Canis lupus familiaris: one gene and its partner. The protein of the gene in region 1 interacts with the protein of each later gene in a pairwise test. Links are inferred from orthologs where the notes say so. Each region holds a gene or a part of one and is shown in the gene's direction. Other genes may lie near its edges.

Evidence for each region.
Region 2: the proteins of HOMER1 (region 1) and C7H1orf116 interact in binary tests that used the Homo sapiens proteins (3 or more experiments, as listed by UniProt). The link is inferred for Canis lupus familiaris from reciprocal best matches to the Homo sapiens genes HOMER1 and C1orf116.

The regions. Positions count from the first base shown.
Region 1 is NC_049224.1:27,542,549-27,546,844, forward strand, and holds the start of HOMER1 (homer protein homolog 1), read left to right. Parts: upstream 1-1,423; 5' UTR 1,424-1,438; coding exon 1,439-1,542; intron 1,543-4,296. UniProt on the Homo sapiens protein: Postsynaptic density scaffolding protein. Binds and cross-links cytoplasmic regions of GRM1, GRM5, ITPR1, DNM3, RYR1, RYR2, SHANK1 and SHANK3.
Region 2 is NC_049228.1:5,926,749-5,930,564, reverse strand, and holds part of C7H1orf116 (specifically androgen-regulated gene protein), read left to right. Parts: intron 1-1,261; coding exon 1,262-1,439; intron 1,440-3,007; coding exon 3,008-3,816. UniProt on the Homo sapiens protein: Putative androgen-specific receptor.

The DNA.
Region 1 (4,296 bases):
GTGTGTCTGAGAAAATCATTTCACCTTCACTTTAAAAGGAAAATGTTTTTTGAGATAAAATTCACAATGCATGAAGTAACCATAAACCATTTTAAAGTGTATAGCATTTGTTACATTCACAGTGTTTTGTAAACATCGTATCTGTCTAGTTCCAAGCTTTTTTCATTATTGTAAATCTGCTTTCATTTTTGCAGAAATTTTTCTGGGTAGAGAATTTTTGATGAGGTTTTTTTTTTTTCCTTTCTTTATTTTTAAGATGTTTTTCTGTCTCCTGGTTGATAGTGTTTCTGATGAGAAGTCCGCTGTCAAATATTTTTTCCATCCCTCCCATCTTTGAGGACTTCAGGTGCCATTTATGTGTCTGTTTCTGTTGATTGATTTTTGCGCTGATAGTATTTTTAAGTGTTAGATATTTAGAATTTGTTGATTAGGTGCTGAATTTTTGTATTTTTAAAATATTCATTAGAGGATCTAATGAAAGAAGTAGGATTTTTTTTTAATATTTATATGGTGATAATTGCATATGGTGATAATGCTTGTCTTAGAGGAAGTAGAAAATAGTGTATTAACATGACATAACAAAAGTCTATAACTTAAGAGATTTTGAGTTGGTTACTGTGTTATTCAGAAGTAAAGAAAAAGGAAATTTAAGTTTTCATTACAAACACCATTCACTTCTTTGGAAATAGTGAAAGTCATGGGCTTTGGATTTAGTCTTGCATTTGAATCCCAGAAATACCAGCACTAGCTGTGACCTAGCTTTGTGTTAAACTCCCCCCTCCTCCAATAAGTCTTTTTTTTTTTTTTTTTTACTCTTTTTATCTCTTAATGTTGTTTTGAGATGAAAATGAGTGTGTATGTGTGTATACATATATATATATATATATGTTAATATAAGGTGTTTACATGTAATAGGAATTCAACAAAATGTTGTGTTTTCACTTCAGCCCATCCTTCAACTGTTTCATTTTTGCAACAATACTACTTCTGGATAACACATTGATTTGAAGTTTGGTGAAATGGGGAGAATAATAGTCACTACTCAACTATACTTGTTATTCTTAAGCAATTACTGTAACTCTTCCCATAGCAATAATTTGTTATTCCTGAGCTTTAATTTTTATCAAATTACACTCAGTTGAAGATACCCAGTTGGTAAACAAATTGCCCAAAAGTGCTTTAATATTTTCAAAATTGCTTCTATTAAGATTTTATGCTGTTTTTCAGGAATTCTTCCCATACTGAGTCAACCTATTATTTGAGGAATAAAATCAGAAATTTATTTTTAATAGAATTTAGAATAAACTAATTCTGTAAATGGAGAGTTAATAGATTTTAACCGGATGAAGATTTGTACCATAGTCCTTAATCCATGGTTTCACTTTCAGTGGTTTTAGTTACCAGCAATCAACTGTAGTCTTGAAGCAGATGTGATGAGATGAAGGTCCATAGTAGCCTAACACTATGTCACAGTACCTACAACATTCACCTCACTTCATCTCATCACATAGGATTTTATCATTTCACATCATTACAAAAAGGGTGAGTACAGTATATTTTTTTGTGATAGACCATACATCAAACTTTTTTACAGCATTTTCTCTTTTATTATTAGTTATTATTAATCTCTTACTGTGCCTAAGTTATAAATTAAACATACACACACACACACACACACTCACACACACATACACACACACACACACACGGAAAAACAATATATAGGATTTGGTACTATCTTTGGTTTCAGGCATCCAGTGAGGGTCTTGAAACACTTCTTGCAGATAAGGGGAGGACTACTGTGTCATCTGTTATCATGTTAGTCTCCTATGTCTGCTGTAGCAAAACAAAGTTGGTGGCTTATAACAACATGGATTTATTTTGTTAAGATTCTAGATGTCAGAAGTCCAAAGCCTGTTTTACTGAGGGTGAAATCAAGGTGTCAGCAGGGCTGTAGTCTTTCAGGAGGCTCTAGGGGAAAATGGTTTCCTCCCCTTTTTTACCCTCTAGAGTTAAACTCCTTGCATTCACAGTTCATGGCCTCTTCCTCCAACTATAAAACCAGCAGTGTATGCATCTTCCAGTCTCTCCCTCTCCTCCCTTTGTCACATAACCTTCTTCTGGAGTTAAATCTCCTGCTGCCACTTTCTTATAAGGACACTTGTGATTACATTTAGGGCTCATCCAGATAATCCAGAAGAATCTTTCCATCTGAAGAGCCTTAACTTAATCATAGCTGTGAAGTTCTTTTGCAAAATAAAGTAACATTCGCAGATTTTAGTGTTAGGACCTCCATATCATTGGGGGCATTATTCAGCCTTCCACAGTCTTTGAAAGGGGATATCAATAAATCCTATTTTTCAAATGTTAGTGTTTTTATGCCATCCTATATTTCAAAGCCTGTTGGCTTACTGAAGTCTGTTAACTTCTCTTTTCTGTTGACTATTTTCAATTTTACCTGGTAAAGTATGTTTTTTCTGCCTATGTCAACAAATATTTAGTTGTGATGATTCACAAGAAAAACTGTCTTAAAAGTCACATCACCGGGGAGCCTACGTGTGGCAATTGAGCCTCCGATTCTTGGTTTCAGCTCAGGTCATGATGTCTCAGGGTTATGGGATCGCATGGGCTCCCTGCTTAGTGGAGAGTTCGCTTCTCTCACCCTCTGCCTGTCCCCCTGCTCATGCTCTGTCTCTCAAATCCTTTTTTTTTTTTTAATTCACATCATTTTTAGGGAATTTATAAGTGGTTTCTAAAGTAGTTCTTACAACCCATTTTGCAGAACTTGTTCTTATGGAATTTAGCCTTTCTGATTATGTATGTGTGAATTCTGTAATAGCTCAGATGGCTCTTATTGGAAGTATACACAACTTCCCCACAGTACAACTAGCTAGGGACTTAATTTTTAAAACTGAAAGGGAACATTTCCCTGGAACAACACCTTTACCCAAGGTGAAATATTCAGTGAAATGCTAGAAGGATTAAATCTTTAGTAGATGTTTTTGCCACAAAAAAGAAACCAAGATAGGGAAAACAATGGGAAGAAAGTAGAAAGTATTTTTGCACATGTACAGCTCCTAGTTTGTTAAAATATACATTTTCTTCCTATCATGTAATCCTTTTCAGAAATACCATATGTGATGAAATTTAGCCAGTGTCTGAAACAGATAGGAGATAATTTGGAGTTCATAACTTCTAGTCTCAAAGACCAGTGCTTTCCCCTCACACAGGCTAACATTATTATTGTTGTTGTTGTTGTTATTGTTACTGTGATCTGTTACAGAGGTGGAACCATTCTGTCAAAATACAGATTAGAGAGTTATGTTTCCTTGCAGAAGGAAAGCTCAAGAACTATGATAATTGAGATGACTAAAAATAAGTTATTGAATCCTTCCAAACTACACTGTCATTCCAATGAAGTCTTAAAGTACAAATTGCTTTCAAAATACAAGTAAAACATAAATGATACCAGTGAACATACATACATTCCATGAAAACAAATACTCCCAACAGTGCTTAACATGCACAGTAACCATAGTTGTGTAGCATACTATCCCACTTCTGTCAACAAAATTAGAGGGAAGGGCCATGCAAACATTTGGTTACAGCGTGAACTCATGACAAAAGAATTATTTTCCCATCCAAGGAGTCACTATAGGGTAAAGTTGGGCACTCCAGAGCTAAATTATATTTGTGTGCCAGCTCTACCAAGTGTTATCTTGAGCAAATACCACTCCATATACCTTAGGTTCCTCATCTTCAAGAGAGGAATAATAGTACCTCATAAAGGCTGAGAGGATTCAGTAACACAGGGATAGCAGTTACAACAGTGTCTGACCCTATGTTTAGCCTTCAAAAATGTTAACTATAACCAAAGAATTTGCCATATACGCATTTATAAGTTTAAGCTTTTGCTTTCAGGTTTGAGTGGCATATCTGAATTTCTCATTTTGAATTATCCAATCTATGGCTTTCCTCCTTCGGCATAAATGATGGAAGCCGTAATTTGTGTGCTCATTAATTGATACAAGAGAAATTGTTGAGAGTTCACATCATACCAAGTGCAAAAGGTTAAAAACTGTCAACTTTTTTGTCACTGACTTTTTAAAATTCAAAAGCTAGTTTTTAAGCTACTCAGTTTTTATGATATTAAATCTGTAAGCTTTCGATTTATACAGAGAATTTCCACTTATTATCAAAAAATCAAGAAAATGGTAAAGCAGGACAGTTGAAAATAGTGTTGAAAAGAAGCAGATGAATAGATAGATGATATCATTACTGAGTAAAAAACAGAAC
Region 2 (3,816 bases), on another chromosome or scaffold:
TTGAGGAAGAAAAGGGCAGTAAAGAAGATTTTGTTCAGGGAACCCTTGGAATCGACTTCAGGGTTCCCAAGGGTATGTCTGAGGCTTCCTTAAACATGGAATTTTCACTCTTGTCAACAGACAGGTGGCTCCTTAAGGAGCCAGGGGAGCTGGTAGGGTTATTCCAACAACCATCTCCTAGGATATATTTAGGGCCATCTCAAAATCTTCCCAGGCCATCTGAGTGGGTCTGGAGAATATGTAACTCTGAAGTATCTCAAATATTAGGAAGAGGGTGGAGATACATGCCAAGAAGGGACTCAGGCCAAATCTCTTACATTTCCATTTGCCTTTTTGGTTTTCCCTTCAACTTTCAACTTTAGAGAGGGACTCTTCTGTGGATCTTGCTGGCCTCATAGGACACAAGCAGTAACCATTGGAAGTGGCCATAACACTCTTTCCCAAACATCCCTCTGTGTTTTTTCATCATGACAATTATCTACTTTAAAATCTACTTGATATTTCACACCATGTTGCCCTCTCCTCCTCCCACACCCGTCCAGTTTCTCTCCCCTCCCCTCCTCAAGTTAATATTTGCTTAAGAAATGCACACTTATTTGAATGTTAGCCAGCACCGAATGCCATCAAGAGAGCAAATACACAAAGGAAAAAATCCTGCATGGAATGCATTGCAAAGTCAAGTGTACATTATTTAGTAAATTTATCTGTGGCTACTCATACCACAGTTCCCATTGCCCTGCCGGCCGGTGGTTGGCCACAGTTTCTTGTTTGTCCCTCATACCGTCCTTGACATACCAGTCGCGTATGCAAAAGTACTTTGAAAGTTAAAAACAATACCGTTCAAGTTTAAGGTCAAATCATTCTGTTGTCCGTGTAATTTAGAGCTAAATCGGAGACACACAACGTGAAATGCTTGGCAATTCCTCACACAGAGGAATTGGAATTAGAACCTGGGACCGCTTCTGATCTGTTCCCCCAAGCCTTCCACCCAGGACTGAGCCAAGAAAGGTCAACTGCCACCTGGCTGCCCCACGATGGGTGCCCGTGGGCCCTCGGCCCCGCATCCCTGCGCCCGTCCGGGCCTGCGGTTTCAGGAGGCAACTCCCGCACAGTTTGCACAGTCTGCGGAGAAGCCTCCTGGAAAGGTTTCCAGCTCTTCAGCATTCCTTCAGGACGCAGGGTGGTTCTCGGGCCCCACCAGTTTCAGGGGAGCTCCCTCTCACAGTCCCTCATCCTCTCGGTCCTCCACGCCTCATTCCAGAGCGACAGCAGCTACGACTTCCTGTCCGCTGAAGAGAAAGAGTGTCTGCTCTTCCTGGAGGAGACCATCGGCTCACTGGACGCTGAGGCTGACAGCGGGCTGTCCACGGACGAGTCTGAGCAAGACGCAGCTCCCCGAGCCCCCCGAGCGCCGCCCGCAGCCCAGCCTGCCCCCCAGGGTAAGAGAGGCCCGGCTGGGGGAGCGCCTCTAGCAAACCCGGAGGCCCGGGCAGCCTCTGCTCTCAGGGCCGTGGGCTGAGAGGGAGCAAGGGCCTCCTCTCCCGCTCCCTCCCGGCTGGGATGAGGCCTTGTCCTGGGGAGGAGGACGAGGGACTGCTCACAGGCCAGCTTCTCTGGCTTCCTGTGAATGGTCAGAGGCCTGGGAGGGTTTGACCAGCTCCCACTCTCTCCCAGAGACATTCTGAAGAGACTTGACCACAGAGGTGGGGGAGGGAGGCAGGGAGGGGTGGGTGTTGCTCTGGGGACACTGAGTGATTCTGGAGAGCTAATCTGGATGATCCAGAAGAAGGAGGTTGCAAGAGATAGGAGGGAAGGGCTCCCTTAGCCTCAGTGGGTGGTACCTCGCGGCTCTTGTGAGGGAGTGTGCAGAGCCCGTGGTACTGAGGCTCAGGAGAAGGGGACAGGATGGTACACACGTGTGGCTGTGACTGTGGGATCATATGTCCCAGAGTGAGGCGGGCACTTGACTCCTGAGGACAGCCCGCTGGTACAGCGACTACGACCATTTATTCATTCATTTAGCAAACATTGATTGACAATGTGTGTGTCTTTTTTTTTTTTTTAAGATTTATTTATTTATTCATGAGAGACACAGACTGAGAGAGAGAGAGACAGGGACACAGGCAGAAGGAGACAGTCCAGGCGTCCCGACAGTGTGTTAGGCCCTCCGTGGACATAGGCCAGTAAGTGGGGACGAGGACGCCACTGCTTCCTGAGACTGATTCCCTGGCCCAGGGGGCCCGAGGCACCTGCCTCGCTTGCTGGAAAAAAAGAGCCCAAGTCACTCTCCAGTGTGGGGACAGCTGTGGCCATCACAGAGCCATTCAGGTGCTCATAGAAAGTGAAGGTGGGGGGACACCCGGGTGGCTCAGTGGTTGAGCATCTGCCTTTGGCTCAGGCTGTCATCCTGGGATCCGGGATCGAGTCCCGTATCGGGCTCCCTGCACGGAGCCTTGCTTCTCCCTGTGCCTGTGTCTCTGCCTCTCTCTCTCTCTGTGCATGTCTCTCATGAAAAATAAATAAATAAAATCTTAAAAAAAAAAAAAAGAAAAGAAAGTGAAGGCGGAGGAAGGCAAGTCTGGTCACAGCAAGAGCATGTCAGCTGTTGGTGCTATTCGCGTTCAGTTTCCCCAGGACTCAGTGACCTGGGGCGCCCCAGGATAGCTAGCGGGCTGTGCTGAGTCCCCGCCCCCCCCACCCCCGCCCCGTGTTTCTGTAGAGGGCTGGGAGGAGCCCGAGGCCAGGACGGAGTTCTGTGCAGCTGCTCCTTCCCCAACCGCCCCAACCGCCATGAAAAATTAATCCTTGGTTGTAGGGAGTCGGCTAGTGTCCATCTGCCCGTGTAAGTGATATCCAGGCAACAGGGGGCCCCTTAGAGAGCAGAGGCTCCGCAAAGCGCACACCCCGCGGCTAAGGCGAGGTGGGAGCTCAGGAAGGATGTGTCTGCCCTGGGCAGGGGGTTCTCACTGCACCCACTCTTCTGTGCTTGTTCTCCCGACCCTCGCAGGACACCCAGCGGAGAGGAGCGCGCCCCGCGGCCCAGAGCCCAGGAGAGGGCCCCCGGCCGGGCCGCCCCGCCTGCCTGAGCCCCAGGGCCTGGGCCCCAGGTCTGGCTCCTATAGCCTCCCCAGAAATATCCGCATCGGCAGTGGCCAGGACCTCGGGAGGAGCAGCCGGCCCACCAGCGGCCCCGGGGAGCCTGAGCACCGGCCGGCGGGCCCAGGCGCTGAGACTCAGGCAGGCGGGGCCTCCCGTGACGGCCACCCGGGGCCACGGGCCCTCAGCCCCCCGGCGACAAAGGCCATGTGGCAGGAGCCCCAGGAGGGCGGCCCCGCGCCTCCCCCCACCCTGGGGTCCCAGGCTGCGAGAGCCCATGATGCTGCCAGCCCCGCGGGCGCGGACCCCGGTGCCCGGCTGGCCCCACTCCTGGCCCCCAAGCCCCGGAAGCTGCCCCCCAATATTGTCCTGAAGAGCAGTCGGAGCGGGCTCCATGGTGAGCCCCAGAACTGGCTGTCCCGCCACCCCGACGGCGGCCCCGGAGACTCCGGCCCCGCCGCCACCTCGCTGCAGGAGCAGAGGAGGGCGCGCCGGGAGGCGCTGGAGAAGCTGGGGTTACCCCAGGACCAGGACCAGCCCGGACCCCACTTCAGTGGCCGCGCCGGCTGCCCCGGCCCCCGGCCCAGGCCCGGCCCCCAGGCCGCTGCACCTGCTGGTGCGGCTCCGGGCCCTGCCCCCACGCGGGCCCCGACCCTGACCTCAGCCCCGACCCTGGCCTGGACTTCGGCCCCTACCTCGGCCCCGACCCCGGGTCCGACC